Linked DNA regions of Medicago truncatula. The protein of the gene in region 2 interacts with the protein of the main gene of each other region in a pairwise test. Links are inferred from orthologs where the notes say so. Each region holds a gene or a part of one and is shown on either strand. Other genes may lie near its edges.

Evidence for each region.
Region 1: the proteins of increased DNA methylation 1 (region 2) and increased DNA methylation 2 interact in a two-hybrid assay, tested with the Arabidopsis thaliana proteins (3 studies listed by BioGRID, with this or other methods). The link is inferred for Medicago truncatula from reciprocal best matches to the Arabidopsis thaliana genes ROS4 and AT1G54840.

What each region holds. Positions count from the first base shown.
Region 1 is NC_053042.1:40,655,764-40,672,566, forward strand, and holds increased DNA methylation 2, read right to left. Parts: upstream 6,613-16,803; 5' UTR 6,416-6,612; intron 6,247-6,415; 5' UTR 6,227-6,246; coding exon 5,206-6,226; intron 4,688-5,205; coding exon 4,443-4,687; 3' UTR 4,159-4,442; downstream 1-4,158. Other genes in the region: nuclear transcription factor Y subunit C-3, read left to right, coding at 1-414; root phototropism protein 3, read left to right, coding at 10,355-10,509, 10,607-10,676, 10,956-12,020, 12,481-12,837. UniProt on the Arabidopsis thaliana protein: Prevents DNA hypermethylation and transcriptional silencing of transgenes and of some endogenous genes. May act as a molecular chaperone of IDM1, regulating its H3K18 acetylation activity.
Region 2 is NC_053043.1:38,461,122-38,478,462, forward strand, and holds the start of increased DNA methylation 1, read right to left. Parts: upstream 8,538-17,341; 5' UTR 8,207-8,537; exon of another isoform or gene 7,965-8,206; intron 6,994-7,964; 5' UTR 6,836-6,993; coding exon 4,145-6,835; intron 3,446-4,144; coding exon 3,322-3,445; intron 2,862-3,321; coding exon 2,779-2,861; intron 1,085-2,778; coding exon 843-1,084; intron 682-842; coding exon 595-681; intron 336-594; coding exon 236-335; intron 1-235. UniProt on the Arabidopsis thaliana protein: Histone H3 acetyltransferase that binds methylated DNA at chromatin sites lacking histone H3K4 di- or trimethylation and catalyzes H3K18 and H3K23 acetylation. Prevents the transcriptional silencing of transgenes and of some endogenous genes.

The DNA.
Region 1 (16,803 bases), on a different chromosome or scaffold from region 2:
ATATCAGCTGAGGCGCCTGTTGTATTTGCAAGGGCGTGTGAAATGTTCATATTGGAGTTAACCTTGCGTTCTTGGAATCACACTGAAGAGAACAAAAGGCGAACCCTTCAAAAGAATGACATTGCAGCAGCAATCACAGGAACTGATATCTTTGATTTCTTGGTTGACATTGTGCCTCGGGAGGACTTGAAAGATGAAGTGCTTGCATCGATACCAAGAGGACCAATGCCTGTTGGAGGGCCTGCTGATGGAATTCCTTATTGCTATATGCCACCTCAAAATGCACAGCAAGCTGGAAATCCTGGTCTCATGATGCATAATCCAAACATGTATGCTCCACAGTCTCATCCGTACATGGCACCTCAAATGTGGCCCCAACCACCGGAGCAACAACAATCGCCTTCAGATCATTAGATTCTTATTATGGAAGTGTTATGGTTAGTAAGGTGAACTTTGGTGCAATAAATTAGTTTTTACAAGGATTGAAAGTTGAAGTTTTATATTGTACTACTGACCATTTCCATACATCATAGTAAAACTTAATTCTGCAGCTTTTAAATTTCAATGTCATTTTTCCTAATGGAACTTAATGTTACTGTATTAGAAATTTACAGATGAATAACCAAGTATGGTTTATGATGATTCATCACTTATTAGCACAAGATGTTTCTAAGTACAGGTGTCAATCGCATGCTGTATTGTGATATAGCAGTAGTGGTTCCAATCTGATCTTGCATTATTAGAAGTAATATAATAATTTTTTATGTTGTGTGGAAGCATGTGCTGTTATATTAGGTGTCTAATATGGTTGAGAACACACTGAACATGAGGAAGTCTATGTTATTATAATTGAGTATTTATATCTTTCCTTTCCCCGTTTGTGTCCTCTTGTGGATTGAATATGGAACTGTTTTGTTTCACATTGAGATGGGTTGTGACAATGCAGTGAAATAGACTAATTAGTATATACTTTTTCGCCAAAAAAAAAAAAAAAAGCTTATCCTAGATCCATTGAGTTTTCCACTTTATTACTTTCTAATATATACACAAATTCATCACTTTCTTTTCAGATTATTACTAGTTAATCAAGCTACTGTGCGATAATTATGCACAAGATGCCCTTTTGTCATTTCTTTTCTGCTCTTTTATAAATGAGCCCCGGTGGGTTTCATCCAAAGGGTGTTTTATTTGACCAGCTGAAATGATTGAGGCCTTTTCTTGTACTGGTATCTATCGTAGTTCATTGTTTGTCTGATATTGCCTACGCTTTTAGATGCACTATGCAGACTACTGCTGATTCACAACCATCATCAGTTGCGGACTTAAGGATGTCATATTGAACGGTCGGGATTGGTTATGATCCTTAGTGATGATAGAGTGTAGCTAATAGCTTATATGCAATGAAAACATATTTTGTTCACTTCTTTAATGAACAATTACATTATAGAATTATTGGGGGATATAAGATTGGTTAGGTGATTGAGGCGAGGGAGTTAAAGGAGTGAAGTGATTTAGAAGTTGAGGGTTTGATCTCTTCAACAAAATACAACCAATACTAACATTTTCCGTTTAATAATAAACAATAACAAATTACCGATGTTAACTAAAAGCTTAATTTACCAGTCAAATATCAAATATTGAGAGCTATACTTATTTATTCCCATCTAGTTTTTCTATTTTACAAGGGTAGTAAGAAAATAATGTCGAGGAATGTTGATGAATCCTTAATATGTCGGTGGTTCTTTCACTATCGAGTTGGGGCTATTTCATTTTATCTTGGCCTCCCAATAGAAGCAAATTCTATCCTATGAGTATGTCAACTTGGCTTTGTTATGCTTGGTGATTGAATTCTCCTCATTAATTTGGCGCTTGCTAGTATTCCTATTTTCTATCTATCTTATTTGAAAATGCTGATTAAGGTGTAGAAAATGGTTGCTGAATTTCAAAGAATGTTTGCTTTGGGGTGGTTCCTCGAGTTGGTCTAAAATTGCTTAAGTGGTCATGTGTGTAGGTCTAAAATAGGAGCAATTCTTAGATGGGCACAAACCCAAATCAAATTTATTTGGGCGCACACACAAATGTAAAAAATTTAAAGAGAAAGTATTTAGTCACATCATTTAAATCTATTCTCTTTTACATTTTTTCATTTGTGAATGTGTGTCCAAATAAATTTGATTTGAGTTTGTGTTCAAGATAGAATTTCTCCTAAAATAGAGGGAGAATTATGGGTGAAAGATCTTATACTTCTTAACATAAGTTTTCTTTTTAGATGGTGCATGGCAAGGTACCTTGTCCCTCAAAAAGGTATTTTCAAGGTTTTTTTTTTTTTTGCAATGTCCCAACATGATTAGGGTGTGTGGAAGTGGAATCTCTCTCGGTGGAGGGAATTTGTGCGAGAAGAGTCTATCTTCAGTCGCTCTATCTTTTGCAGAGAAGAGATATATTTGCCGTTAATGATTTGTTGTCGGAAGGAAACTAGGAGAAATTTATTCTAAAGGAGGGTAGTTGATGATAATATCGATATCCATGTGTTCTCTAATTCTGAGTTAAGGAAAGTGAATTACACTTAATTATTAAGTGTAAGATCTTAGTGTGGTATGAGGTTTGTAGATGGTTTGGGGGTGGTGATTGATATGCAGGGGAATATCCATTTGTTTTGGGTTTTTGTTACTTATTGGAAAAAATGGGAAAAAATGGATGGAGTTGGCTCTAATTTGACAATTTGGGTTGTTAGAGGGTGATGTTCTCGACTTGGGCCATGATTTCTCACAAACAGTTGACCACATTAAGGTGCAATCTTGAAAATGACTGGTACATTGGTGGCCAGTAGATGCACACTTCTCCTTGGGGCTTATGTTTATAGTTGACCTCTTTATCTTTCTATCCTCTTCTTGATTGATTATGAAAATATTCTTGTGGCATTTTATACTACTTCAAAAAATATTATATCCTTCTTTCCTACTTCAAAAAATAACAAATGTAGGTTACATTTTCTTGTAAAGAAAAAAATAACCAGCATTTTTAGTTGAGCGTGGCACTTAAGTCTCATGGTCATGGATACACATAGATGATCGAAAATTGGTGTACCTAATTTCAACACAACCACCACACTTAAATTATTAACGGAAAATCACAAATGTTCAAATATTACCAAGGAATCAACTCATACACGATTTCACTAACGAGTAATAAAAATAAAATTTGAGGTGAGCAGATTATGAAACTATTCCTTTGGCGTACCTTTTATTTTACTCGCATTTTATTCCTATTTTGGTAGATATTCAAATTATTTTGAGGAAAAAATGGTCATTTTTCTCACCATTTGCCAATATGGTTAACCATTTTGTTGGAGGTTCGATCTTTGGCCAATATATATGGAAAAACATATGTTAGGAAATATCAACCCTTAAATGAATCTCACTTGCTTTGAAGAATTAGTCTTCGCATTTGCGCATAGGATAATTATTTATTTTTAAAAGGCCATTGGTGCAAGAAGGGAAACATAACCACAAAATGAACTTTAACTAATATGGGCATGAGGGGGCATACAACATCATTAAAGAATAAGGCTGTGAGACCCTTGAGAGCAACTAAAAACTATAATATAAGACAGTAATTTGTTAACGACCTATCAGTCTCTGTCCATCCAAGGATAGGGAATGTGAGGGAAGTCCATAAGGGTAGGAACAGAATCTTACTAGTTGAGTGATGATGGGTTTAAGTAAAAAAAATAAAATCTGGAAAATGTCAAAGTAAACTTAATCTCAGAAAATCTGACAGGATCCATTGCAGTAAACACGGCTTCTTTAGACAGAGGTCATAAACAATAGACTGTCAGCATTTGTATGAATCCAACAGCTGACCTCTAGCTGCAGATGATTGATAGGGACTCCAAGGAAACTCCACCCTTAAGGAAGGTTGGGTACAACTTTGACCCAAAGCTTGATAGAGATGAAAATAAAATGTGAAATTATTTTGGCATATTACATCTTAAACAAACTTATAAACACTTCAGTATGAAATCTCTCCCAGATAATAATGGCGGATCATAGAATTGTGCATTTATGTGGCACTCATAAGCCACCACAAAAAATGAAAAAGATATTCTAACTGAAAATAACCAAAGTAAATAGAGACAAGTTGTACATTGACTTAAAATTACTCCTCTCAAAATAATATACTATATTCATCAGTGAAGCATTCTTACATGTCCACAAAATGGATTAATTAGCCATGTCGTGACCACTTCTTTTCTTCTACATAAAGAGAATGTCAGAGAGAGTTCTGAGCATGTATAACACTGAATCTCAAAAAATAACTAACATTAAGATAGACACTGTACATAATACTGCTAATCAAAACCACATTTTTTTTTGACATTTGCATCAACTTAGTACCAAGTGGAATTAATAGAGGGATTCTAATAGCATATAGCCTCGCCATCACCTAGGTTTTCTTTTCACAACTATTCCTTCAAGAATCCCATCAGTACCAAAATTACCTGAGAATTGATGAGGATCTACAGGGCCTGGTAGCTGAAATGTGATTGAGAATTGGCCTGCTGGGCAGAGGTTTTGAGTTTGCATTTCAAATACCTGAGTGCGCATTGATACAGTCTTCTCTCCTGTTGTGGTTATTCCCTGAATAAATACTTTGCCATCTGTGTCAACCTCGCAGCTGAATTCCTCTGCAATCATAAATTCAAAGTTCATTGATTTAACATATTAAGATCTCTTTAACACACTATGCTGCTGCAGAAGTGATTGAAAGACTTGCCAACCCATCATAACAACATAATGTTTAACGATGATCAAGATCTGGTTATAGTACTCAGAACCATTGTACATTGCCAAAACATCAAACAACAGATGCAATTGCCTTCTTTCCTTGTTTCTTTGTTAGTTTTAATTCTTTTTCTCCTTTTCCAATTTTGTAGTGTAAGGGCATGCCATAAGGAGAAATATCAAATCAACATAGTTGTCATTTGAAGTCATATGGCCACATCATCGTATACATAGAATATACAAACCTTTTCAGCTTTAGATAATTTTATTTCATTAACATAATTCTCAAAGCAGTGTAATGTAGAACCCAAACATGAACTAGACATTCCTAAAATAGAGGCACTTATAGCATAGAAGATTAGAACATAGAACTAAATAAATAGCAATCAAGTGACTTAATAAGATTTAAAAAGAAACTTACTATCATCCCTCTTCACACCAGGGAGAGACATACGAAATAGGTAAGAGTCTTCACACTCTCCAATGTCCACAAGTCCCATAATGGGACCAATCTGCCCCATAGCCGCACTTCCTGTCAATGCAAAACCACTGTTGGTAGCAGCCACAATGTTAGACCATTCCTTCTTAGTAGGACGAGAAGGAAGGAATAACGCAGCCGGAGCACCAACTTTAACAGAATCACCTTCACCATCAAGACCCATACCACCATTAAACGGCACACAGCTAATAGGGGTCACAGCATGGGCATGTGGCAGTTGGTACTTAAGATCAGAAAAATCATCACTTTCAGTCACTTTTCGAGAACTAGTTTTCCTACTAGAAGATTGAAGCTCAGGCAAAGGCAATGGGATAATTTTTTTATGCTCAACCTTCACAACTGACTTATTACGCAAACCACTACCATCCATACAATTATATAATCTAGCAACATCTTTGTCCACAACAAAATCCTCCAATCCACTCAATCTCTTGAACCTTTCAATATCCTCTTGACTGAAGAAAAACACTTCCGGGTTATCAATAAACACAATATTTTCAATGATCTTAAACCTATTACCTTTGAACATAGACTGAGGGTGTAATTCAAGTGGGAACAAATCAGTAAACTGAGGGTAATTGCAATTGGAGGAACCTTCCAGCCCTTGAATGAACCGGCGCAAAAAGGTTAACTTTACCGTTAATGATTTATCAACATTCCTAAGTATATAATAGTAAATTCGTTCCAATTCAGATACTTTCATATAAGAATTTGTTAATTGCTCACGTGTGTATGAAGGTAATCCTTCAGCTACTATCTGTAACACTGATTTTTTGTCACCATTGATATCAGGACCAAAGTACGTTCCCATAATGAAGTAAAGGAGAAAACATTGATCATCATTAAGGTTATTGGAATTTAGGTTTTTGGGTTTGGGTTCTAATAGTGCTAAGGTTGTTTGATATTGGTTAGGTTGTTCCATTCTATTTTGAGACTTAGACATGTCACACTAAAACCATGATTCTGCAAGAAAAATAATGAAAATGAATGAAATAGTAATGTAAATGGAAATATTGAATTAAATTGAAGGTATATGGTGTTTGTTTAGAGTTGAAGAAATTAAGTAACAGTGACATTGTTGAAGAGTGGCGAAAAAATAGGAACGGAAGAGTGTAGAGAGAGAGATACTTACATGTGATGTGAGGTTTGAAGAATTATGAATCGCATGCATGCAGTGAGAATTAAGAATGAGAAATTAGAGAAGCTGTTTGGCTCCGAACAGGGGATTTGTGAAGGTGAAATAGAGCACCGTCTGGTAGTGTTAATGGTATGTTGGTGATGCTATGAGGCTTACCTTGGGCTTCGGAGCTATTGGGCTATGATACAAAGCGTGCGTTACATTTACATAGAAAGAGAGTAAGACTTTTTTTCTTTTGAAATAGAAAAAGAGTAAGACTTGTGATACATCATCTTAGTTAATGGTATTTCTTAATTGCCAAAGGGGATAATTAAATCAAGTATTTTTGTCAATTTCGTCTACGAACTATCAATCTCTAACCAAGATCCTGATTCGAATTCAGCCTTGGGCATACAGTAGCGTTAAAACTCTTAGGGAGTGTCTGCCGCCCATTTGGGTTCCACAATGCTCGAGGGATTAGTCTCTGCAGTTGCACGCGGAGGATACCCGGTTTACACCCAAAAATATCTCTAATCAATTTAATCTCTAAACTGAAAATATATATGAATGTAAGGACTACATTGACATTTTATAATATAGGGTCTATTTAGTATATTTTTATAGTTTAGAGACTACATTGAAGAGAGAGCGGTAGTTTAGGGCTTAAATTGATGGTTTGTTAAAAAAACATGCATAAACTTATTTATCATGAAATATTCTTTATTATTGATCTTGAGAAGACTCGTTGACGACAAAGGGAGCGGCTGAGATGCAGTGAAAGACGACTTTGATTCACCAGAGGGGGTGATGTATCTGTAAGGACTCTAATGCTCAATCGAGTAAGGGTTTGAGAAATTTAAAAGGTTCAAATGAGTGAGGTAGCAACAAAAGACGGCGTGGACCGAGCTCAAAGACCTAAAATGGTTAGGCGGTTGCAACAAAAGCAATGCAAACCATGTATCACCGTATGACGGAGATCAAAGGGTCCTGATTTGGCCATGGAATGCTGGTGTAGGCTTGAGCGGTCTCTTGAGCGGAGGTCGTCTATTTCGGCCTAATTAGTAATCAGATTGGGTCTTTGTCCAGTCCAGAACACTTATGCAATATATAACTAGCAATGAGTTTGGGTCCTTCAGAATGGACTAGACCTCCGACAACATAGCAAGCCAAAGTTCAAATCTCAGTTGAGAGAGGTACCCATATTTAGTATCAAACACGCCTCAAATGAATGAAACATATGAGAAACCCAAAAAAAAAAAATGTTCCCAGGTCTTTAAGTTATTACATACCAACATTTGTCGTTAAAAAAATCAGGTATGCAGAGATAATAATAGCAAAAGTTAAATCTAAATAACAATGTAAAAGCAATTTTGTGGGATACCGGAACATGGGGAGATTTTCTCACACCAACATCTTTCTCAATTTGCTCCGAATCACACCTTTAGCTATTTGACAATGTAGTATATTGTTGGTCTAACGATTTTATTCCTCTTGTAGGAAATCACCCCAATTTATTCTCATCTGCATTTGATGATGAAATCACCCATAACTCATCAATTTTCTTCTCTCAAAAAGGTTCAAACTCGTGTTTTTCTCTTCTCAACCATTGTTCTCTTCTACAGGTTAACATGATACTAACATCTAAGCCTTAATTTAACTTTATGCCAAGTTTTGTTGTGTATCAACCCTCCGGTTTCTAGCGGAAATGAGCCCCCTAATCAAATCAAACCGAATGATACGTCCTTCGTAAAACTCATTAACCACTTGAGCTTTTTCCTTTATACACAAGCATACAGTATCAAACTTCGTCTCATTAATTAAGCAAACTTGTCAGTAATGTATCTGATGCAATAATTAATAAGGATGATATTACTCTGAATCTATTGATCAGAAAAAAATGCTACTATGAAATCTACAAGCAGGTCACTAATGTTGCTCAAGGAGGATTTATTCTTAATAGTGACCACTAAACAGGCCTAGCATTAGCAACATTGTAGTTTTACACTTTGCTAACACATTGAGAACAATGTTGCATCAATTTTAAATCACCATCATTCAGTAATACACAATGGAGTATACAAGAATCAACAATTACACAGAACAATCTTTCAAGAGTGATTGAATTGAATCAAACAATAGTGGTGTAGTAAAAAAAACAAAATAACCATGGCTCTCATTTTGATACTTTCCATTTTCTATTTCTATTCTTCAATGCAATTTGTGCAACAGGAGAACAAGTCCTAAACTTCTCAACCCAAAATTTCACATCCTCTTTTCCCAATCTGAAACTCATCATCAAAACAGCCCCCAAGAAAAACCCTAAAAACCAATCCTTTATGACTTTATTTCTTAACAATGAAATTGAAGAAACCCCAACAAAACAAAAGAACAATGACTTCAGAAACAGGTCCAATTCTGAAACCCTAAACGCCCAGAAACCCGCAACACATATCAACACAAACAATGGCAACAAAAACATCTGCTCATTCCTCCTCTTGCTCGATTTGTTTGTTTTCCTACTCCAGCCACTGATGAGACGGTTCACAATCCGATGTTCATTCGAATTGGTTTGTGCGATTTCGCGGACGAGGGAATTAAAGGGTTCTGGCAAGATCTTGAGATTGAATGCGAGTGTGGAAACTAGTTGAAGCAATTTTCGATTCGACGATAGGGGCCATTGTGGTCTTCTAGCGCAGACGATTTGTAGGTTTGTTAGAGTTTGATGGGATTGCGAAATGGCGACGGATTTGGGTTTGAGGAGATGAAAATTGATGTTGAATTTGGAGATTGGAATTGGAAGAGTGTGATTTGGAATTGAATGAAGGGATTGGGTTGTGGAAATGCAGGGTTTCAGTTTCGCCATTGTTTGCTTGTGTTGTGCTTTGTGACCGTTAGCTAGAGCAAGAAGAAATCAAGAAAGGTGTTTGCTTTTACACATTCATTATTTAATCCCATATACTTTTTTGAATTTGGATTCTACTTGTTGTTGGTTGACAATGACATACATGGTTCTTGGCCGTCCGATATGGATCAATGTATAAATTATTTAATTGTGTAAAATTCACTATGTAATCTCAACCGTTTGATCTTAAATTAATGATGAAGTAAATGCAGCATATTTTGATTTTGCTAATTTAAACTGAGAAATCTCAACCATTTGATCTCAATCTCTGTTGATTGATTGTGACATTTGGATATCAAATATCCTAACAAAATAATATGACACTAATGAAACAAGTATGTCAAGACCAACAAGAGATTAGAACATATCTCAAACCAAAATTTTAAGGCATGAATATGAGTTGTTTCTCTTCTAAATCTAACATTTAAGTCATTCATAGTTAATCACTCATGCTTGAACTAAAACACTAACCAGGATTACTCTTAAGAAATAACAAGGCAAAATAGTTGGCACTTTGTGTCTTTTCCAATTTCTTTCACCATCCAAACACAGATTATGCATTTAAGCAAATAATGGAATCTTTTTTAGTAAAAAATTTATTGCAACAGAAAGTTTCCTGACCACAAAATCATATGGCTAGAATCAGTTTTGATTAGCAAGGTGGGATGAGTTATTACTTTGGTACAACTTTGGAAACACCTTAATTGATGAAGGCGATCTGGTTGGAAATGCGTGGTACTACCACTATGTGGATGAGAAAGAATGTAATATTGACTATCTGCTAGGGTATTCTTGCATCCATCTGTCTACTCTCAAATTCTCCATATTAATTCCAATAACTACACTGACATGACGCATAATGGAAATAGGCAACAAACCCTCTTCCATGCCACAAACGCTATGTACAAAGTTACTCAGTAGGCCACAACTACATTAATATTCATCATACTATCTAAAAGATGGACCACTTTTTCTGTCTATATATAGTATTCAATTCAATTTCTATCTAAATAATATTCACCACTAAAACCTTTTCTAAGAAATATTATTATATGAACAAGTTTGAGTTTCCTGGTGTTGATAAAGTAACCATGAAAATTCTTGACTGTGAAAATGTCTTGAGTGGAGGAAAGCGTAACCGATGCGTTGTTCTACCAGCTAATGTTCCTATAGTTGCTGATTCCTTAAAACGGAAAAATCAAAACTGGTAAACATTTTTAACCTCCCAAACATGTCATAATTGAATAATATATATACGTTTTTGCGGAAGATAAATACTTAGATGTCTCATTTTCTTGATGCAGGATTGCCAGGGCAAGTTCTACTAATGATTTAATCATACAAGTTGGTGATTCCAGCTTTCACTTGCATAAGGTGGACCTTTTATTATAAGATATATATCATTTTTTTTATCATAACATGTGTATCAAAATGTGTGCTATGTATCTGATCTTAATTTAGTTATATATCACCATTGGCCATTGCTTTTAGTTATATAACATGTTAAATCTACTTATTTACTCTTTTCTCTGTTTTTACATTACTCATTCACACCAATAAGTACCTCATGTTCCTAATTTCAAACATATCATAACATGTAATATTGTTCATATTTTTAACTATAAATTAATGATTAATTCATTGATTTTCCAGCTTGCCATGGTCTCAAGAAGTGAATATTTGAATAGGCTTGTCTTCAAAAGGAGAAGTAACAACATAGAAGACAATAATCATACTATCCAAATAGACAATCTTCCAGGTGGTAGAAAAACATTTGAGTTAGTTGTCAAATTCTGTTACGGTTGGAAATTCGACATGACATCATCCAACATAGCTTCATTATATTGTGCTGCAAATTTCTTAGAAATGAGTGAAGATATTGAACAAGAAAATCTAATTTCCAAAACAGAATCCTTTCTCACATTTCTAATGTTATCTTCATGGAAAGACACATTTCGTATACTCAAAAGTTGTGAATCAATTTCCCATTGGGCCAAGGAGTTACAATTAGTGAAACGTTGCTCAGAAGCAATAGCTTGGAAAGCATGTGTAATTCCAAAACTTGAAATCAAAGTTGATGCTTGTTGGTGGTTTGAAGATGTATCACTTCTACGTATAGATCATTTTATTGAAGCGATTCAATCTGTCAAAAAACGTGGAATGAAATCAGAGTTTGTAGGTTCATGTATAGAAAATTGGACTAAAAAATGGTTCTCTAAAGTCACACTTGGAATTGATCCAAATGTGACACAGAAACACATGCCAATTCAGTTACATAAAGTTTCAACCGAGTGTTTGATTAAAATGCTTCCAACTGAAGAAAATTCTGTCTCTTGCAATTTTTTGCTTCACCTGTTGAAGGCAGGTATGATGTTGAAAATCAATCATGAGTTGTTGTGTGAGCTAGAGACAAGAGTGGTTTTGATTTTGGAGCAGTGTTGTGTTCAAGATCTTTTGGTTAAGAATCAAGGAGATAAAGATTCTTTGTATGATGTTGATGTTGTTGTTAAAGTGTTACAATCTTATGTTCTTGGCATTTCAAGTAATTCTGCTGCAAAAGTTCACATTGTTGGAAGGTTGGTGGATGGTTATCTATCACAAGTTGCAAGGGATCAGAAGCTCACAGTGGAAAGTTTCAAATTGCTTGTTGAAGTATTGCCACAAAATGCTAGAGATAGTGATGACAATCTCTATAGAGCTATTGACATGTACCTTAAGGTAATATACTAATATTATATAATTTATTCCCGAAGTTTTAAATCACAGTCATATTCGAGTTTTGATCTTTGATATTGCGTACAATCACAGTCAAATGCGGCTGATCCACCTCAATCGTGGTTGTGCAGCAGTTTGGCAACATAAAAATCTATAATGTTGTGACCCAAGTAAAAGTCGCAAACCTTTTTTTAAGTGCATGTTTGGATCAACAATTAGTTTGGCAATATCTCAATGACACCGTGGTGGCACACCATGATTCTGCAAAACTCATGGTCTTCTAAACATGCATTAATAAAACTTTGATTATATCATTGCTATATGAGTACTTCAAGTTCTATTTGTGTGGACTGCGGATGTTTAGTTAACTATTTAATTGAATGGTCCATATTGTCTTGCATTTGTCTCTATGATTATATGGTTGTTGAAATCTGAAAACTTAAAACTTAACTCAATTTTGCAGGCACATCCATATTTGACAGAAGAAGATGGAGAAAATGTGTGTAATGTATTGGAATACCATAGATTGTCACAAGAAGCGCGTCAGCATGTGATGAAAAATGATAGGTTGCCCATGAAATTATCAACAGGATTTGTCCTTTTAGAACAAGTGAACATGTCATGGACAATGGCAAGTAAAGGATCAAATTACCATAGGAGTAAGACAAGCATCAGGATAAGCAAAGATTTTGAAAAGAGACAGATGAATCAGGAGATAAAAGTAATGAGAAAAGATGTTGAGATGATGAAGTCACAACTGCTGGAACTAAATACTTGCAAAATGAAGCTTCAAAAGCATTTGAAGTTATCCACTCGTTGAAGTTATGTACAAACACCTTAACATATAGAGCTTTTCTTTGATGGATGTATTTATCAGCCTCGTTGAAACCGGTTAGTTCAAAATGAAAGAAAACTAGCATAGGGTGTCCTCTCATCCTTCTGTGAATGTTGAAGAGGATTGGCAATAAAATACGCTTTTGGTCTTGCTAGCACTTCTCTCGCGTCAAAAATTATATTGATCGTTTTGTTAGTAAAATATCTTAGTTTTTGGATACTTTTTCAGCCAAGTAAGGAAATGTACGTTTTTTTGGATCGACATGCTACTTCGGACATATGGTGAGAAAAACATATATGTTGATAACATAGGTGATCCACCGTTGACTAGTAATTAAAATCAATCAGAAATTTCAACGACGATCGACTATATTATTTAGAAATAAAAACTCAAGATTTTTTTCATACTTACAACTAAGATAGTGAGTGTATCGTTGTCTTGTTGAGATGAATACTGTTAGCTAGATCTGATTGAACGACAATGATCGATGACATGGAGTCGTGGAAAAATATTCAACGACAGGTTTCTCGGGTTATTTTTGAAAATGCTTTAAAGACTAAGAGCTAGCTTGTTCATGAATTGACATTTTGCCATTTAAAAGTCTAAACGATCAGTGTGCAACAAAGAGACTAATGTTTTTGAAACATGTGAATATAGTAAGGTGCCTTTCTTTTCCTAATCTTAAAGCTAGGGCCATATATTATCGAAATCACTTGGAATCTTAAAGCTAGTGCATGCATAATTGAAGTTATTCTCTCTCTCTCTCTCTGATCTCTACCTTAAATACAACTCAAAACTTGTTTATCAACACACACTCCCACCTATCTCCCACCACTTTTTTGTCAACACACACTCCCACCTATCTCCCACCACTTCTTTGTCATCATGCCTTCAGAAGCCTCCGTGACCGAAATGATGGTTTTGCAGATGGAAGCCGCCTCAATTCTCACCATCACCACCTCCATCCCAATAATTATCGACCGTTCTAGGGCTCCGGCACCGATCCCAGATCGGTTGACAGTTGGTGATGCCCTAATCGTGCATGAAGGGTAAGTTGATATCATGCATTAGGAAACATGACATATCATTATTTTAACTGACGCAAAATACCCCCGCGTGAGTTAACTGACGCAAGTATATAACCCAGCGTGACTTAAGTCACGCTCGGCACATGACTTAAGTCAGCGTGAGTTAAATCACGTTCCTTACACCAACGTGAGTTAACTCTTACGGCGTGAGGAAGATGAGACATACAATGTCATGGCAGGATGGTAATTTTGATGCAAAAGTGAACATAGGGACAATGTCATTCCACTTCCACGTACTCTTTTTAACATATGTAGCCATTGATCTCCAAAACTTTGTTTGGACAAAATTTGCACCATAACTTTGTGAATGCTAGCTATTTTATTGGTTATTTGAACTTTAAATTCTTTTTGCCTTCAGATTCCTATTAATCTAATTCAATGTCGGTTGTTCTAAATATATTCAGACGAGTAGTGTGTAATCAAAGTTTGTAAACGTAAAATACTAATTTACATTTGTATCATTTTAATATTATTTTTTTATTTTAAGATCTCTAACAATTGGTAAATAATGTCTATATTAAATATTATTTTCAACACGCACGTGCGCGCACTAACTTGCACACACACACACACACATACGAAGTTGATTATAGCGAAAAAGGATATACTCTTACGATGTGACAAACCAAAGTTTGATTTATAGCTGACAAAATACTCATATTTAAATATTGTCTGACCACGTCGTATAAAATTATTTTCGATTGAGGGAACTTATGGAATTTTTTTCTTATGTTTGTCTTATTCTCTCTGACACACTTAAAATGTCTCTATTTAAGTTTCATTTTAGGCCTAAAAATACATTAGTCCGGCCCTGCTTCGAATCTTAATATGCCATGTATAATTGAAGTTCTTTTCCTAATCACTTCGAACCTTAAATTGCCATATATAATTGAAGTTCTTTTCCTAATCACTTTGAATCTTAAAATGTCATATATAATTGAAGTTCTTTTACTAATCACTTCGAATTTTAAAGTGATGAATATAACTGAAGTTCTTTTCTCTTTACCTTAAATACAACTCAACAAAAGGATTTGGTTGAGCATCAGAATACAAAATTCCACTCAATACTCTTTTGTCTCTCTCACTGTTCTCAACACGCACTACCACCAATCTTCGCCACTTCTTGTTAAACATTTCCACCACCGCGTCATCATGTCTTCAAAAGCCGCGTCGACCGAAATGGTGGTTCTACAGGTAGAAGTCGCCTCAATTCTCACAACCACCACCTCCGCTCCGGTAATTATCGATCGTTCTACGGCTCTGGCACCGATCACAGATCGGTTGATGGTTGGTGATGCCCTAACTGTGCATGAAGGGTAAGTTGATATCATGCCTTAGGAACATCAGATGAAAACACGACATATCATTATCGGTGCAACACTTATTATGGAGGCATTCATTCAGCAATTCCCCCTTCTTCAAATACTAAAAAGAGAAAGTGTCATTTATCAATGACACTTTGTCTTTCATCTCAATGATTTGCTATATGATGACTCGTTACATTCAAAAGTGGCTCACTCGCCAGAACCAAGCTGGAGGGTGCTATTGTCCAAAGTTCTTTATGGTGCTTTGGGCGGTTAGCTTTGCCTCTGCATTACACATGTTTTGTTGGAAAAGGATAAGGTTATAGCGAGAACTTTATGAGGAATTTAGGAGGAGAGAATATTTGAGAGAATAATTATATATGCTACTTGAAATGATACTTTGATTCTTGTTTGCTTGCTTGGTTTCCAAATGATAAGATCTCCCCTTTTTATAGGTTGCAAGGGAGAGTTCTAGACACATCATAGGAAACTTTCTACACACTTCTCTCAACTACATGCATTTAATACTATTTATACATCCTACCAATCTAGCTCTACACCACTCTAGAACTTTCTATGGGCTACACCACTTATTTGTTAATTGGGCCTAACACTTGATTAGTCCAATGGACCAAATCAAGTTGCGGCTAGGGTTTCACAACTTTTGTGAATTAGGTTAAGCACTCACAAGAAGTCTGTCATGCTTCAACACAAGGGTTCTATTTATAGAATCACTTGTGTGGTCAGCAAGCCAAGCACTTTAGTACACCGTACCTTACAGTGCACCATATTTCACTTAAACAGATTGTACCTTATGGTGGACCGCATTTCTCTATTTTTCGTAAATTAAATAATAAAGTCATATTTAATTATTTAATTACTAATAAGTCTTACTTATTATTTTATAAATAAGTCTTACTTATTTATTTCTCTCATCTATCTGTCCTTTGTGTGTGACCCTATAGATTCCCGTAACATTGACAATAATATTAAATCACATATTTAATATTATAAACAGTGAGCAATATCTAGCAACACATCAATGTTACTCAAGTGACGAGAATGTCATGTGATCTGACGAAACCTTTTATGTGATAATGTTTGTGTGCATAATTACCCTTTTGCCCTTATGTCTATATTGAACACAAGGCATATAATGTCACCATTGTCCAATTCAATATTGGGTCCGTAGACATTGCTCATGTTATGTATGAGGGGAAAATTTCATCTAGGTCACTCATGTCCCTCAGCATGATTTGTGGAGTACCTATCAACCAACTTTATAGTTATCTTGTTACAGACAACGTTTGAATGGTGACAAAACGCTCGACTCCAACATCTAGGGTACATAGTGGTTTCAGTTCAAAGGGTGGAATACACCACCATCACTATGATAATTTTTATGACACTTTTCATAACTTTTACTATGTAGTATTCTCATGGTGGGTCAATCCAATATAAATATTACTCCTAATATTTATATCTATGTGTAGACTTGATAACTCTTTATCCATGATCTGTGAGATGTGATCATCAGTCTATCCACATAATAGTCTCTA
Region 2 (17,341 bases):
CCTCTCCCTGTTTAATGAGACCCGCGCAATTTTGCCCAGTAACAGAAAGTGCACTGCTATATTACTCTTATATAAAAAGAAAGTCACCAAGTGCAAATCCATATCAAATTTCAAAGAATAATTATTCTTATGAACAAAGGGAGTGTTGATCCAACTGGGGTGAAACTGAAACAATATTTTATATCTGTTCTGTTTGAATAATTTTGGATAAACATGAAATTACAGCCAGATTTACCTCTTCGATTGAGCTCACGAGGCGTCGGCACATTCCTTGGCGACGATACCGACTGCAAGTTGCAATTAGAGGCATCTCTGCAACGGTAGTCCCGTGCACTCTGCAAATAAGTAAAAGGCTTGAGAACAACCCAATAAAACAGAGATGCTATTTCAAATAGAACAAAATGTGACTATAACTCAATTCATTCATAAATCTACTGGAAGGGTAAGCTTGAGCATAACTGAAAAGCATTTAGATAATTGTCTTTACATAATAAAAAAAGTAGCTGAAATAGAACCATTTTCATAAATGTCAGAAGAACTTAAGTACATTGAATTATATCATCAATAGCACATGTGTGTGTGTTTTGTTTTCACCTGATGGATGCTACAGATATTAACACATCCTGTTTTTCCAACACCACTGTGTAAAACCCTTGAAAATTCAGACGAGCAAAATCAGACCTGAAAACCACATGGAAGTTAAAGCCTTACAAATCAAGACAAGACAAAATCCTAAAGTTGAGGCTTTGAAATAGAGCATAAGAGACGGGGTATTATTTGGACATTTAAATGATGAAGTACAAAGAAGAGGTGGAAAAATTGTCATGGGAAGAACCACTAACCCCCAATTGAATAAAACTTGGGGTATCATGTGGATGCCTGTTCTTAGATCTAACATTGACACGAAACACTCCTCCATGATTGTAAGGGCAACAGCTAATTTTGTATTGCATACTGCCTTTAGGGCAAACCACTGAGCAGAATGAACCTTCTGGTCATCATGTATGCATCTAAGAAGCGTCCAGTCGAAGCCATCAGCAACTTGATTAACTAGCCCAACCTGAGATTGAAGAGTACAGTATACCTGCACATACCAAAAAGTCAAGTCCTTGATTAAATAACACCAATGAGATGATGTTCGGATAATAAAATAACATTTTACTATGTTATTAGTTTGTCTCGAAGTTAGTACGCTACGGCTAATAGCTGTAGTACTAGCACCTGATCTAGTTATTAACCGCATTCTAGGTTAGGTTTACTTCAAATCATATCAATATTATAATATAAGCCATCTGTTGTCCCTGATTTTCTCTTTCCCTAACTGTAAACTTGAAACTCCTGACAAGCCTTACGGTGAAATAAAAAACCAACGTTGTTTAATAATATTATTCTAATAAAACAGAAGGAAAAAATTGGAACAAAGGGAATAATGCTACCCATCATACTGATGAGTATCCAAGGACTTGGGGAATCCTCCCTTGAAAGCTAGCTATCGAGAGGGAGCAACCAAGCCACTTAAATACTCTTAACGATTATCTCATACAACTTGATGTGGGATTTGGGCACACCATAATAACCAAGTTCCTATCGTAGCACTGCCTCTGAGAGCCTGCATCTCAGTGGCTGCACTCTACGACTCTTAACTCGGCCTTTCCGGTCAGCCCTTCCCTAGTTAACCTTTTTCAAGCAGCCAGTGACTAGCTTTGATACTGATTACCTATTAACCGAAGTGCTACATTAAGTATCCATGCTTATTCACAGGTAAATCTAATTATCTGCTCCTTATTCCACCAAGCGAATACCTCTTAAAGGTGTGAATGCATAGACAAATATTTTATAAGACAAGCATAAACACCAGTGGTATGTAACAAAAGCAACTATGCCAAAAGATAGAGATAGAAGCTAATGTGACAAGTAATAGACTCTTCCATCCTTATATAAAACCATTTATGATCTTTCACATAACAGCTCAAACAACATGATATTAGAGGCTCTACGGCAGAGTAATTAAAAAATTTGATCCTTGCCATGCCCTCATTCTAATAAAAAAAGTGACTTTCAGCACACAGTAGAAAAGTAGAATGGGCCAGTGCATTTGTCCACACTTCAAGCCAAAAGAGCTCTCGTGTGAGGGTCGTTGATACCCACTGCCTAAGCTTTGGGGACAATCAATTTATGACACGTGTAGAAATAATTACAATCTTTAAAAATAATGAGAAGAATCAAAATTTATCCTTTTACGTGTCAGTAAAAAGGTTTTGACTTCTCTTTAAAACAAAGCATGTAATAGTTAGAATAAAATACGGCAATTAAAACTTGCCAAAGTCGTTCTACTCACGATATATGGCTATTTTAGTTACCTATTGTTACCGCACACTTTAGTTAAAAAAAATAAAAAATAAGAATGATATAACTAGAAAATCATACTCAAGTTATTCATATCAAAGACAACATTCTAAATTTTTTATTTTAAACTTGTTTATCTAAAAAGCAACCTTTTGGAGCTATACTTGCTACATTAAAAGAACTTTGATCAAAATATCAACATTTGACATGCCAGAAACCTACAAGTACTTTCAAAACATAAACCAAACATAACCTTCAAAAAGTATTGAATACGATCTGCAATTTATATATAGTTAAATTACTAAGTCATAACAAGCCATTGCACAGTCATACAATATGTCACAGGCAATAAGACATAATTTTCCATATTCCATATTCAAGAAACTCAATACAAATGGAAGTATGGAAATTTGAGAAATTGTAGTATAGTACCTCCCGACAACTTTGACTACAAAACCAAGTGTCTGAAACAGCTCCTTCTTGTTTATCTCTTTCTCCGAGGCATTTCTTGTGATCTATTCATTACAAATCCGTCATAATCAAATGGTATCATTATTGAAGCATCAGAAAGTCAAAACAGTGCATGAACTTTCAAGTAAGTAAAAAATTATTATCCATAATCAAATTAACTGATCATTTATTATAATAAATTGTAATGAGTCAAGCTAAGCACATGAAGCACCAATAACTGTAGATTTTGAGGAGTCAAACATATGCAACCTTTATGCAGAAACAACAACAACAACAGCACCAACAATATTTGAACCGTTTTGTTTATTCCAAAAAAAAAAAAAATAACTGAACCAACAAATTGTTCAGCCATTAGCATTATTATAATTCTAAATAAGATCAAACACAAAAGACAAATTTATATGGTATAACTCAACTTGATATCAATCTACAAGCTCTATGAAGATATTTAAAGTTCAAACCATGCAATCTATTATGCAACGTGAACATGAAGGTCAAACTTACATTTATGTTCGCATTGTGAACATTGCGATGAATCATGTGCATCTGAAACCTCTTTATCAATGACCAAATTTCCACAAATCCGACAAGTGCAGTTTATGCAGTACCAGTTGCCATCGGGGATCTCCTGATGTACAGAAACAAAAAATGTGTCATTCTTCTGAGGCAGGGTAAGAGAAACCCAACAATAGTCACATCCATAAGAATACAAAAAATACAAAATAGACTTAATTGATATTTGAATGCATGGAATAAAAAGAAGTAGGCGTATTAGAGCGACGTAGATAGAGATGTGCATGTGTTGGTAATACATAGCAATTCATTCATGCCCACAGGTCTATATCAAGAGAGAGAATATACTCATGGAACCTACTCATCAAATCACAGCCAACATAGCATAATGTTTGACAGTTCGTTTGTATTGGCTCGTAAAAAGCAAGCAAAATATAGTATATCATACAGAGAAACTTTACCCTTGATAATGATTCAATCATGTTCTTCAAGCGATATGGCCTATGATGGAAAATTTTAATTGCAACAATATTTGCTAGCAATCAGCAAAGTCAAAATAAACATTCCCAATTAGAAAGCAGAAAAATTAACTATCTCCAGGGTTTCGCGCAGGAAGGGACAGAACTACAAGTGTTTTGCTATTGTAAAGGTGTGTGTATATGTGAGAATGGTACAAGAGAATGTTAAACCAACCACTCAATAGCAGGTTTGAATTCCCAAAATAAATAAATAAAACAATTTATCAGCAATGACAAGGCATGAACAGAAGAAAAATATTAGAACAGAAGAAAATGATAAACCGAGTGCAACTGACCTGAGCGGACAAACAAGCCAGGTGAAAAGTAGATGGACAGTTATCACAGCATATCAGCTCACCTCCCTCACCACACAACCCGCACGAATCATCATTTCTGTCATTATCAACAATGTTCCCAGCTTGATTTTGACTTTTCCTGGCTTTGTATTCAGCTGACCAAGCTTGAAGGAGGCAAAGTGTAAAGGGCTCACCAGACTTCATGAAAAGATTCAAGCAAGGGCGACTCAGTGTAAACCCAGCATGAATCTTGAACTCTGATAATGTAAGCACCTTACCGCAACACTTACAAACAATACCGTCTTTGGTGATCTTGCCATCCTTAGTGACAGAATTATCTTTAGAGTTTCGGTATTGAATGATGTCATTTAAACATATGACCTCATTCTCAATCAACCAGGACAAGAGAGTCCTTTCCCCAAGATAATACTTCTTCCCATCCATATTGTGCTTCCCTCCATTACAAGGATTCCTTGGAAGCAACCTGCAACGGCCTTTATGGCTTTTAAGCTTTCTCAAACCCCTTGATTTGCCGGATTTAGCTCTAGATTTACCTCGCATTATCTTTGGGTTGAAGTCCTTATTCTTGAGTATTGCTGACACTAATAGATCGTCATCTTCAATATGGCATCTATTGGACTTATTTGTTTTAGTAGTAGAGTAGTTTGTTTTCTTAATATGTCGCTGGTTTGCACTGCCTGATAACTTCTTCTTGTTCTTTTTTTTTCCCACACTGTCAACTACATAATCTTGAACTTCTTCCAACACAGTCTGAGTGCCACATACATCACCATTCAGTGACTGCACCTGATCAGTAACAGTTGATCCCAGTATGTCACTGTGGTGTAACATACTCGGTTTGATCTGAGATATCCTTTTGCACTTCTTCCGCATTTTCTTTTTAAGAATACCATTAGAGGAAGACCATGTACTATCTTTCCCAAAAACAGAAGCCATTGAGATTTTCCTCCCCTCTTCCTCACTGCATTCGGACCGATTTTCTGATGCGTGCTTATCAGAGCTTTTAGAATTTCTAAGTTTAGCTTGATGAACAGCATTTACTTTAGATTCCAAGTCCAAATTTCCAGAGCTTGTAAGAACATCAAAAGAGGAAGCACTTGAATGGGTAACAGTGCTACCCAATGCACAAGCAGGTAAAGAGGCTAGATCCATACTACTTTTGCTCACTGACATTTCCATTAATCGGTTTTCTATGATGTTTGGTTTATGTTCTTCGACATACATATCTTCTTGGTTACCGTCGGATGTCTGTTTACAAGCATGACTGTTTATCATAAAAGCAGATATTTCTGTGGTTCTGGTGGCTGTTGAAGAGTCGCAGAAAATGGCTTGGTCGTGCTTTTGTTCAGAAAGAGTGTGAGACGTATTCTCCAAGGCTGAATCAACTGGAGCATATGCCATTTTACCCTTTTTTTTTGAAGAATATGCCATTTTACCCTTACTAGAAACTAAACTACAGCTTGCTTTTATAACCTCTTCTCCCCTTTTCAGAGCACCGACCTTTCTATCAAAATGTATAACTACTACAAAAGGATCCATAATCCACCATTGATAAGCCAACATAGCAGCGGTCTCTGGCTGGTTTTTTAATTTTTCAACATTTTTCAGTGCACTCGATAGATCGGACCAAAAATCGCTAATATTGGTCCATTCTTTACGGCCTCCATATGTTACATTGCACTTTTCAACAGACAAAAGTTGGCCACATAATCTCCAAACTTTTGTAAATTCCCGCATAATTTTTCCCTTTGGTGTCTTGTAGAATGACTCCATCCACCGTCTAGAAGGCCGTTGATGCTTCCCAATAGACCATCCTGACATCGTAAGCAACTGCACGATATGAAACTGCAGTAAGGGACGGGGATCCTCTTGGTCCAGCTGGGACAATGAATTTGAGATAACCATATTAGAAGATTGAAACCCTTCAGGCATTTCCTCAGTTCTTAAGGGAGACTCGGACTTCTTCACAACAGTGATTGATGGACTCGTTACTACTAGCCTGCTTGCCGAGCTCTCCTGGGATACAGGAGAAGCAACTGACTTACTTACAGACACCTCCTTTGGGATGTTCCCATCTTCTGTTTTAGATTTACAATTTGTAACATCTGCATCGTCATTAGAAGCATGAATTTTCTGTACCAAGTTATGCTTCAATAGATAGCAACTAGATATCACACCGTGTTTAGAAGATTCAACTGTACGAAATGCAATCGAGTCACTATCACAGTCTGTAGCAGCACAAGTCAGGTTGGAAATTACTACTTTTGGAATTCCAGATGAACCCAAAACATCTGAATTAGATCTACTACAAGGAAGTTCGTGCAGAGAAAATTTCATACGTTTGACATTTACATTCTCATCATTCTGATCTTCACAAGTTAAACTCTCTGGCAAACATCCCAGAGCAGTCTCATTGGAATGCTGAATTGCATTAATGTCCTCCTCGGGATGGATAAATCTTGAAGATGAGGGACGCCATATGACCGAGTTTTCATTACTAGAGCCAAATGACTTAAATGTGTTTTTCGTGGATTCATGTTCAAGGTTGATGGCTCCAGAAATAACACGCCTCTGATTAGACTGAAAAGTGTCATCACCAAAAAAGACCTCTGTAAAAATCTGTCTTTCTTCATTAGATCCTTCAAAGTTATCATCACATAAATGTTCCATTTTGTTGCTGACTAGTGCAGTTTCACTTCACAGCTTCTATTACTGGTCTACCTGTTGCCACCCCACCATTATAAATGGCTAGCTCCTGCATACTGTAAACAAATTCATGAAGTAACATGTTTCTTCAGCCAAAATGCCCTAGTTGACGAACTTCATTTCTGCAAACCCAAGTAAACACAAATAAAATCACGTCGTAAACCTGAGAATCTACATAAGAATATAATTTCTTAATTTCACAATTTATGCATTTAAACACCTAAATAAGGAAATTGTTGGTTTCAGAATAAGATAAATTCAGACTTATAGAACTATCGCCATTAATGCATTCATTGAACTAAAAGTCCATGCAAAGCAATATCATCATACACTTCCCACAATTAACACGTTCTTTCCAAAATTAGTTTAGAGAGAGGGGATAAGAGATATATTATTTTACATGAAATGGTGCTTTTCAATATAGAAAGGTTCGCATTTATCCCAATGCAGTCTACAAATCTAGGATAAGTGCTACTTTGCATACTCTTCTTAAGAGAGGCTGGCTCTCTCTAAGAATTGATATTATCTTCCATTCCCAATTTTCATTCATGTTTTTTATCATGTAAGGAGCATTGCTCCGTTCTCCATTTATTTCTTTAAGTTTTCGTTTCTGTATTTGTTGGTTTACCTATAACTGTAGAGAATCATGGATAACTAAACTAACAAACTTTAACTAATTTGTAATTAATACTAACCTAACTAACTTGTAACTACATTTAACAAACTCTAACTATATTTAACAGTAACAAACAACATCTAGTTGTAGGAATAATCTCCTTTAATTCACTTTATATTTCAATCTGTTTGGTTCCTATCAACAACAGCTACTAAATAACATTTTCTGCACAATTAACAAGCCAACATTGATAAATCTTCATGCATTCATTTAGCAATAAACAACAAAAATCATATAAACATGCAAAATTTAGCTTGAAAATCATAACTCAGATGCAACAAACAGAAATCATAATTCAAAAAAAGTTACCATCAAACTTCACAAGCTAAAAATTGAAGAACATTGATTACACAAACACACCAAAACTTCAAATTAAACAAATACAACTTAAAAACATGATAGAACACAAACACACACCAGTTTCTCCAAATCCACATGCAATGAAGAAAAACCAGCAGCTCTAGAAATTAACGAAAAAATCAACAAAATTCAAAGCGAAAACCTCACTATTTTCACAGATCCAATCCTACCCAACTCAACTCAGATTCTCAAGAAATCTAAATCCACAAAACACTTCACCCACCAAAATTAGGGTTTCTCAAAATTTCCCAAAATCTGAACATAGAAGAAACAAATTGCAAATTTTGCAACAACCCCACCTCAAAAGATAGCTTTTCGAAATCACCCAACAATGCTACAACGAATTCCAAAGCAGAAAACAAACAAACTTTTTTCTCTCTCTAGAAAACCCTTTTTCACAGTTTCTCTCTCTAGAACCATATCCTTTCTTCCCATGTGACTAGCATTTGGATTTGTCTATTTGTGGCACTTTTTTTGAGAACCCTTTTAGATGAAGCAACTATACAAACACTCATTGAGATTGTGTTGTGCAATGAAAATGGACAAAGTGGGTCCCACCGATTAAGGGGACTAAAACTATTATGTTTTCTACTTTCTTTTTTGTAGTACTTCCTTGTATGAGGTGAAGAGAAGAGATCCATCATAATTTTTGCGGCAAATGTTTAGATTAGGCTTAAATATGTAATAGTATGCACTTTTATTTTGGCATTAACTATTTGTCAAAAAAAATATTTTGGCATTAATTATGCATTTTTTTTGTTTGATATCGGTCTGGAACTTGTAAAAAAATTGTAATTGGTATTTTTGTTAAATTTTTGTAAAAAAAATAAACAAAATTAATTGTGTGTCACCTGGACCAATAATTACACGTCACGTGATTCAGTAAACAAATGGATCAATTATCATCTCATTTGGTATAAAGAGATCCATCTCAAAGTTTGTCTCTTTGTGTGGAGGCTTCTATGTAATCTTATTCCAACAAATGACAACTTAATTTGGCGAGGTGTGCTCATGGCTATTAACCAGCTTTGTGTAGGAGAGTGTACCCAGACTGCTTTTAGGATTGCCGACTGACCCCACAAACCAACACGAGTTTTTTCAGCGTGTTTTGTCCTCACTCGCACGCTTACCGGAAAACTTTCCGGTAGGTCACCTATCCCAAAATTGCTCCAAGTCAAGCATGCTTAACTGTGGAGTTCTTTTGGAATGAGCTACCGAAAACAAGATTTGTAACATCCCAGACTGCTTTCAGGATTGCCGACTGACCCCACAAACCAACACGAGTCTTTTCAGCGTGTTTTGTCCTCACTCGCACGCTTACCGGAAAACTTCCCAGTAGATCACCCATCCCAAAATTGCTCCAAGTCAAACACGCTTAACTGTGGAGTTCTTGTGACAAACATTACATGTTTCATTCGTTTGCCTCCAAATCGAATAAATAACATCCACTGATACTTGATAAGAAGAAGAAACCGTTTAACAACTCCCTTATTAATTTTTCTACCACAACTTAAATTGACCAAAACCTCCGAAATGGTTTGCCGTTGATAGTTGTTAAAAAAAGTATGCTTTCTTTTAGATTGTGGCTCACTATGAATGTTGTTTCCTGTTTCATTAAATATAAAATAAAAATAAAAATTTGCGATTGGCACTTTGACAGTAGTAGTAGCATGTGATTGATACAAAAAATTAAAAGCCATTGACACTTTGACAGGGAGTAGTAGCATGTCATAGATAAAACAAATATAAACATATTGATTGAAAAAAAAAAGAATAACAAGGTAAAGTAAATAAAATTACATAAAATGAATTACTAGATGTAACCATATTGCATCAAAACGTGTACTCCTTATGCATGCAGTTCATATAAAATGTGGAGTATAATGAGTGCAAAAGGTGGCACAATATAATAAAGACAAATGCAAAACACACTTAAATACAACACATATTCATAAAATAAAATAAAACGTCATATACCCATATCTTCCTCAATGTTATTGTGAAAAAGTTAAGCGACATCTTCTTCATACTCAATTCCAATATATTCTTCATCTGTTAGATAGTCAAATAAACCAGTGCTTGAATAAGTAGCATTTAAATTAGAAGTGTCCAAACCACTGCAAGGGGTGTTCAAACCAATCTCTAAAGGTACATTTGAGAGGTGATTAGAGGTGCTCAAATCATTCAAAGGAATGTTCAAATCAATATTAAGAGACACATTTGAGAGGTGGTTAGAAGTGTTTAACTCATCCAAAGAGATGTTCAAATCAATATTGAGAGGCCCATTTAAGAGATGGTTAGATGTGTTAAGTCATTCAAAGGGATGTTCAAATCAATATCAAGAGTCATCTTGAATTAGCAATGTGAAGCTCCAATTTTCAGCATTTTTTACCTTCAATTTATAGAAATCAAAGTGACTAGAAATTTTAGATGAAATAGTTTGCCAAATTTTGTACCGCCAAAATTTTAATAAAATGGAAGCAGGTCTTGAAAAAATTTGCGCCAAAGATGAACATATGTTTGGGAAGTGGAAGAGTACAATTGAATTCTCTGGTGTATTGAACAACGTCATTCTTTAATGAAAGAACATGAAAAATGTAAAATTAGGCACTTTATTTAATGAAAGAACATGAATACGGTTGGGAAACAAGAATTGCCATGACGGCAAATTAGACATTTTAGCTTAAATTAAATAACAATGACCACATTCCTTAAAAAGTGTGAAATGATCAATTTTGCTTATAAAAAAAACGGAGGGAGTAGTACAGTTTCGTAAAATTGAAAATAACCTTTGATTTTGTCTTTGGTGAGAATCTTATATAGAATAATTGAAAGCAATGGTAAGGATCAACACATCATCCACTCGCCCATTTGCCACTCACTCGCCGCTGCACCTTGATGGTTCAACTATCCATCATCCGACTCAACACCTATGTATCATGATCTGAAGCATGTTACGACGAGCAGAAAAAGTTAAAGTTAACAACAACAAAAGAAGAAGAAATTGCAAATGGAAATAGTAGAAAAATAGTCTCATGGTGCATTGAGAAACAAAAATGAAAGGAGGCTCACGGAAAAGGAAGCCAAGAGCACAAGACATCCTTTCATACAGTCACTGTTTAATCAACATGCATCCAACGATAACCATTAATCTACTTGCATTGAAACTTAAAATTTGACCATTGGTAACTCTTAACTTATTCATCTACCTCAATGTGTATACTTTTACTATTGGGAATGAAAAAAGTCTGAAAATCAACATTATATCTTTTTCTCTTTAGTACTACGTATTCTCCAAAAGTCTGAAATTATTTAAAATCTGTATAACTAAACAATAAAAATATTTTATTAATAGATGAGAAAAATTGACGAATATTTAAATAAGAAAATTACACAAATAATAATAATAATTTATTCTTACTACTAATAATTAATAGAAAATGTATATTATCTAACATGTCTTATTGAATGATAAATATCACACTTGCCAAATAAACAACCCACTTTTATTTTTTGGGACGAAATAAAAAAACAACCTACTTGAGTAATTTCTTTTTTCTTCTTTATATGATTAATTTCTTTTTTCTTAAAAAAAAAATAATCAACAAAATCGTTTTTTTATAGAAAAGGAAAAAAAAAAAAAACTATCACTATAATAGTGTGGCAGACAAGTAGACATGAAACCATCTTGATCATTGCAAAATTTATTTAGGCATTCCTTGAGCCGTGTGCGAAGACAATTATAGAGTTAGACAATTAATGTTGCATTCTTTGAGTCGTGTGAAGTAATTAAATGTTGAAATTGTCATTAATATGATGATTTGAAATTCAAAATCGTGCCGTGAAGTGTGCAAATTAGATGAGAGCTAAGTGCAATAAGCTAATATTAAGTGCAATAAACCTAATAAGTTTTGGTGCCCAAATAAGTAGTGTTAGGGTTTCCCATCTAGGGTTGCAATGCTAAGTAGGATTAGAAATAACTAGATCGATGACCTGTGCGCCGCACGGATCCTACTGACTAAAATAGTGATCAATGAGTTATACAGTAATAAAAAATTGTGGTCAAATTTATCAAATGAATTTTGTTTTTTTTTACACAAAATTTATCAAATGATATAAATTGATTAGATTAGTGATATCATGACGACATTTTTTTAGTTCGAAAATCGTACTGCAGTTGATTCAACTTCTATCATTGTTAATGTACCAATTTGGTCTAGACTTTTATTTGTACCCCACACAACAATTGATTCATTCATTCATTATGTAATACTCATCATGGGTTATATTAACATTAAATTAGAATAAAAATTTAAAGTACTAATAACAACATCTCAAACTACAATCTGAACTGGATTACATGTCCAGATGAAGCAGTATCATAAAATACAAAAATAGCAAAATAACATCCTCATTCCGTCCAAAAGTATTGTTCAACTTGATAAATAGGTTCAGTTGCACTAGTACAGGTTGGTGAACACAGTTTTGTACGGAGGACCAACATTAGAGGAGCCATAGGATATATGATCTTATTGTTACCGGCATCTGTAACACCAAGACTAATTGTTGCACCTTCAACGAACCTACGTGAATTGCAAAGTTGTAGCCACTGACCAAAAAGAGTGCACGACATAACCTTTACGCGAATGAATTTGAAATCACATTTTTAACTACAACCCAAGTAATCCACAACAGTTAATTCTGCTTCGTCACCAGGCAATGCAGTCTGACAAAAAACCAAACCAAAACAGCTTCCGCAAGACATCTTCCACAAAACCAATTAAATATATATATCTTACCAAATTGCCAAAAACAACATCAGAGGTTTCTTTCAAAAAAAAAAAAATCAGAGGTTGTCAACTCCTTAACAATTGTGTGGTAAAACTTTGTGGGAAGAAAGAGAGTAGAAGCACCATTTAGAATGCTGGAGCAGTCGAAAGAACTTCAAAAGGCATATCAACTATTTCCACCAAATTATACATGACTCGTCATTTTCTTCAATAAAAATAGACAACAACTTACTAAAAAAATAGACAACAATTAACCATAATCCAAAAGAAAGAATTGCAAAAACAGTAACTAATTCTCTTTATAAGTAATTGTTTTTCTAGAATCAAATATGTTAATATTATTTATCATATTCATTGTGCAGCAAAGCATTCATACTTGTGCATTTGCTATAAACATATCATCCACTTAAATCTTAGTAATAAACAAAAGAGTAGAAGAAGAATAATAAAGCATCTACTTACTTACAATAGTGACAGAATTAACCCAATCCTTTTCTTTTTATTAACTTATACTACCACCTGAACTATGTTTTTTTTTGTAAGCTACATCTCTTATGGGGCTAAAAGATCAAGCATGATCCTCTTGTCTTGTTAGTTTCAAGTATTGAGTTTGCTAGAATATTTAACAGGTTTGATGTAAGCAAATAATTTAAGGTTCAATCTTAAATATAATGAAAAGAGTTATTATGACTCAGTCTTACAATGTTCCTATTGATCGCAGAGCTGAAAAATGACGGATTAAAGTTTTTTTTTGCTGCGAAATTGCAGATTAAAGTTAAGTTGAAGATTGTTATCTTCGACTTTGTTATCTAAAATATGTCCTTTTCATAGCAAGTTCGTGAAACATTGGCAATGTCATCTTATAATATGTTCCTCGAGACAGACTATACTTCAATTCAATTTCTTCATATTTATATCTAATAAGCATAAGCATTTGGTTACAGTTCTATTTTACTTTGTATAACCTGAGTTTTGAAAATTAATGATCTCATAGTATGAAGAGAATAACGCTAATATAGAAAGAAATTAAATGACAGAATGCATAAGATAAGAATCTAATTAAAGCCACGCAAACTCTTGCAATTCCGACGAAATGCAACATTAATGAAAACAAACAAATTACAATAACAGTAAAAACTAACAATTAATTAGTTGTGTATCAATTGACTAACTTTCCATTGCTAGTGTTTTCTACTAATCATATGACAATAGTGAATCAAAAGAAGCTGTAGTAGCAAAAAAGGTGACACTTAGTATCCTCAACGTAATTAAAAAACAATATATTTTGTTATCCTTTGCTTAATTAATCTTTTCATCGGTGTTGTTAATGGGGCTTATTTTCTGTCTTATTCCTACAACAAATATTCCATCATGCTCCATTATTGTTAGAAGTCAAAAAAAAAAGGCCAAGCTTATACACAGTAGGAATTCTAATTATAATGATAAGCTAAAGTAAAATCTAATGAGTCATTAAAGGTCTTCCAGGACCTTCTCTACATGCATAGGCTTCTATGAAACATCTATAATCAATATTTGAATAAATAAGCAAGGACATGTTGTTTTGGTCATCCCCTTTCTTCCGGATCTTCAAGCCACATTCCTAGCTCCATATATAACTGAAATCACACCAAAATCTACTACACCTGTTACCAATAAGCAATATGTCAGGTATCCCACACCAGCAGATTTGTGGCCATCACAACTGCTTGGAGAAAAAAACCGTTGATGTTCAATTGATCAAGTCGAACAAAAGAGCACTTCAAATCATTAAGAAGCTACTCATAAATCTTTTATTAAAGATGGAGTAGAATTTTTACTTTTCAGATAAAAAAAACATGAATAATATCAACCCCAAAGAAAATAATCTAATCATCTTTAACATGAAATGAAGACAAATAAGGGATTAACTGTAACACCCTCTCTAATTATTTGAATATTTTTAATGAGTTTAAAATACACTTATATGATTTGTATGATTTATATGATTTATTTTGATGAGTGATATTTTGTTATGATATATGTTGGTATTTATTAGAAATATATATATGTTATTTGGTTAGGAAATATAAATGTTATTTGATTTAGAAATATATATGTTATTTGATTTAGAAATATATATATGTTATTTCATTTAGAAATATATATATATATATATATATATATATATATATATATGTGTGTTATTTGGTTTAGAAATATAAATGTTATTTGTTATAAAAATACATATGATTTGTTGCAGAAATAAATGTGATTTGTTATAGAAATAAATGTTATTTGTTGTAGAAATATATGTTAATTTGTGTAGAGATATATGTTATTTTGTGTAGAAATATATGTTATCTGGTGTAGAAATATATTTCTTATTTGGTGTAGAAATATATATATATATGTTATAGAAATATATTTGTTATAGAGATATAATTGTTATTTGTTGTATAAATATTATATATATATATTAGAATAGAATATTGAGATTTTGGTAGGCAATCTAATATATTTTTGTACTTAATATAATATATTTTGGTACTCAATTGATATATTTAATTACTAGATCTAATAGGTGCATTACTTGTTTCCAAAGTTTCTCACTTATTAGTTGTAAATTATCTCTATAAATAGAGAACTCACACAGTGCATTCTACACACCGAAATTCACAGTTGATACTTCCTGTGCTTTTCTTCTCTTCTCCCTCTTTTGACTTGTGTTGACGAGTCTTTCTTCTTTTTCTACTCCTTTCTGTCCCTTCGGAACTAAAAGTGTTCTTAAGACTATAATCCCTCTTCGGTTTAATATCCTTTTAGATAAGAGAAAGCGGTAGAGTCCTTCGTCGATCAATCCAAAGGTAAGGGTGAGACTAACTTTGCAATTCTATTAAGTATGTGAATCAATGGTTAGGTTTAACATGATGTAGGATGAGTTTTTGAGGAATTGAAAAGTAGGTTAAAATTGAAGAATTAATGAATAAACGGTAGAAACTTGTTAAAAAGATGTAGAAACTGTCCTTAGACCTTAGATAATGATTAAGATGATTTGATGATATTTATAATGTTATATAATTAGATATATATTGCATGAATTATGTTTTATGATTGAGATGTTGATGACGTGCATTTGTAATTGTTTTATATGATGATTATCATTATTGATTGATACTATTTTGTAGTTGTGATGAATATGATTTACTTTGATGATATGATTAATGAGAGAATATTATATATTGTGAATTAATGATTAAATGCATTACTTGAAATATTATTGAATGATCAAGATGTTGAAATGAATTGTTATTAAGCTTGATATGAATTGATTATGCTGCAATTGTTGTTAAACTAAGTTGCATGAGTTGTTGTTGATTATCATTTGATATTGTTATATCTTGAGATGTTTACGTGTCGCCTATGTTGCTGTTGTTGGTTATGGGAAATATTTATATGACTTATGTGGAAGATGTATGATGTTTAAGTTGTTGATACTTCATATTAATATTGTTATGTTGTGAATTGCTTGTGTTGTTTCTGTTGCTGTTATGAACTGCTAAGTTGTTTGTAATGTGATTAAATGATTAAATGCATTACTCGAAATATTATTGAATTATATTAGGAGCTTTGTCCTCCGCACGATTATTAGTATGAATAAGTTGATGATGAACTCCAAATTATTGGATGTATAAGTGATAAGTTGATTAAGGTGTCCTGTTGATAGAGTCCATGCATTAGCATTCATTGAGCTTTGTCCTCACCACGATTAGGAGCTTTGTCCTCCGCACGTTTAGGAGCTTTGTCCTCCGCACGATTAAAGTATATTAATACTTATGATGACGATTGGTACCACATGCATATAAGTGTCTAAGTTGCATTGTCGCATTTGTCGAGTCAAAGTCGTTGTTGATGAATTATCATCCATGAGTTGTTAAGTTGTCGATGAATTATCATCTATGAGTTGTCGAGTTGTCTTCTACCCATGTGTTGTTAAAGAAGTACCTATGAAGATTATACGATGTTTATGATGTGAATTATATGATGTTGACTAAGATGTTGCTATGTTGTTTAAGATATTGATTATGATATTGTTATATTGTTATGTTGTTATGATGTTGTATATGATACTGATTATAATGTTATGATGTTGTTTACGATGTTGATTATATGATATTATTATGATGCTATATGTTGTGATGTATATAAGTGTTATTATTAAGTGATGAATATATTGTTTTATATATGATTAATATTATTAAGTGAATATTATGTTATGTTATTGATGATGATCGAATGTTGTGATTACTTGGTAATTGTTTATCAAAGATGCTATGATGTTTAAGATGATATTGTTTAAGATGATTATGTTTAAGATGTTTATGTTGAAGATTTATGATGTTGATTATGGTGTTAGTATGTGTTGATTACATTTTGATAAGATGATGAATATGTTGTTGTTGTTATATTATTATAAGATGATGAATATGTTGTTGTTGTTATATTATTATATTATGATGAGATGATGTATATGTTGTTATTATATAATTAAGATGATTAATATGTGTTGTTCATGTCGTTATAAGATGATGATCTATGTTGTTATGATTTGGTTATTATGGGTTATATGATGATGTTTATAATGTGATGAATATGAAGTAAATGATA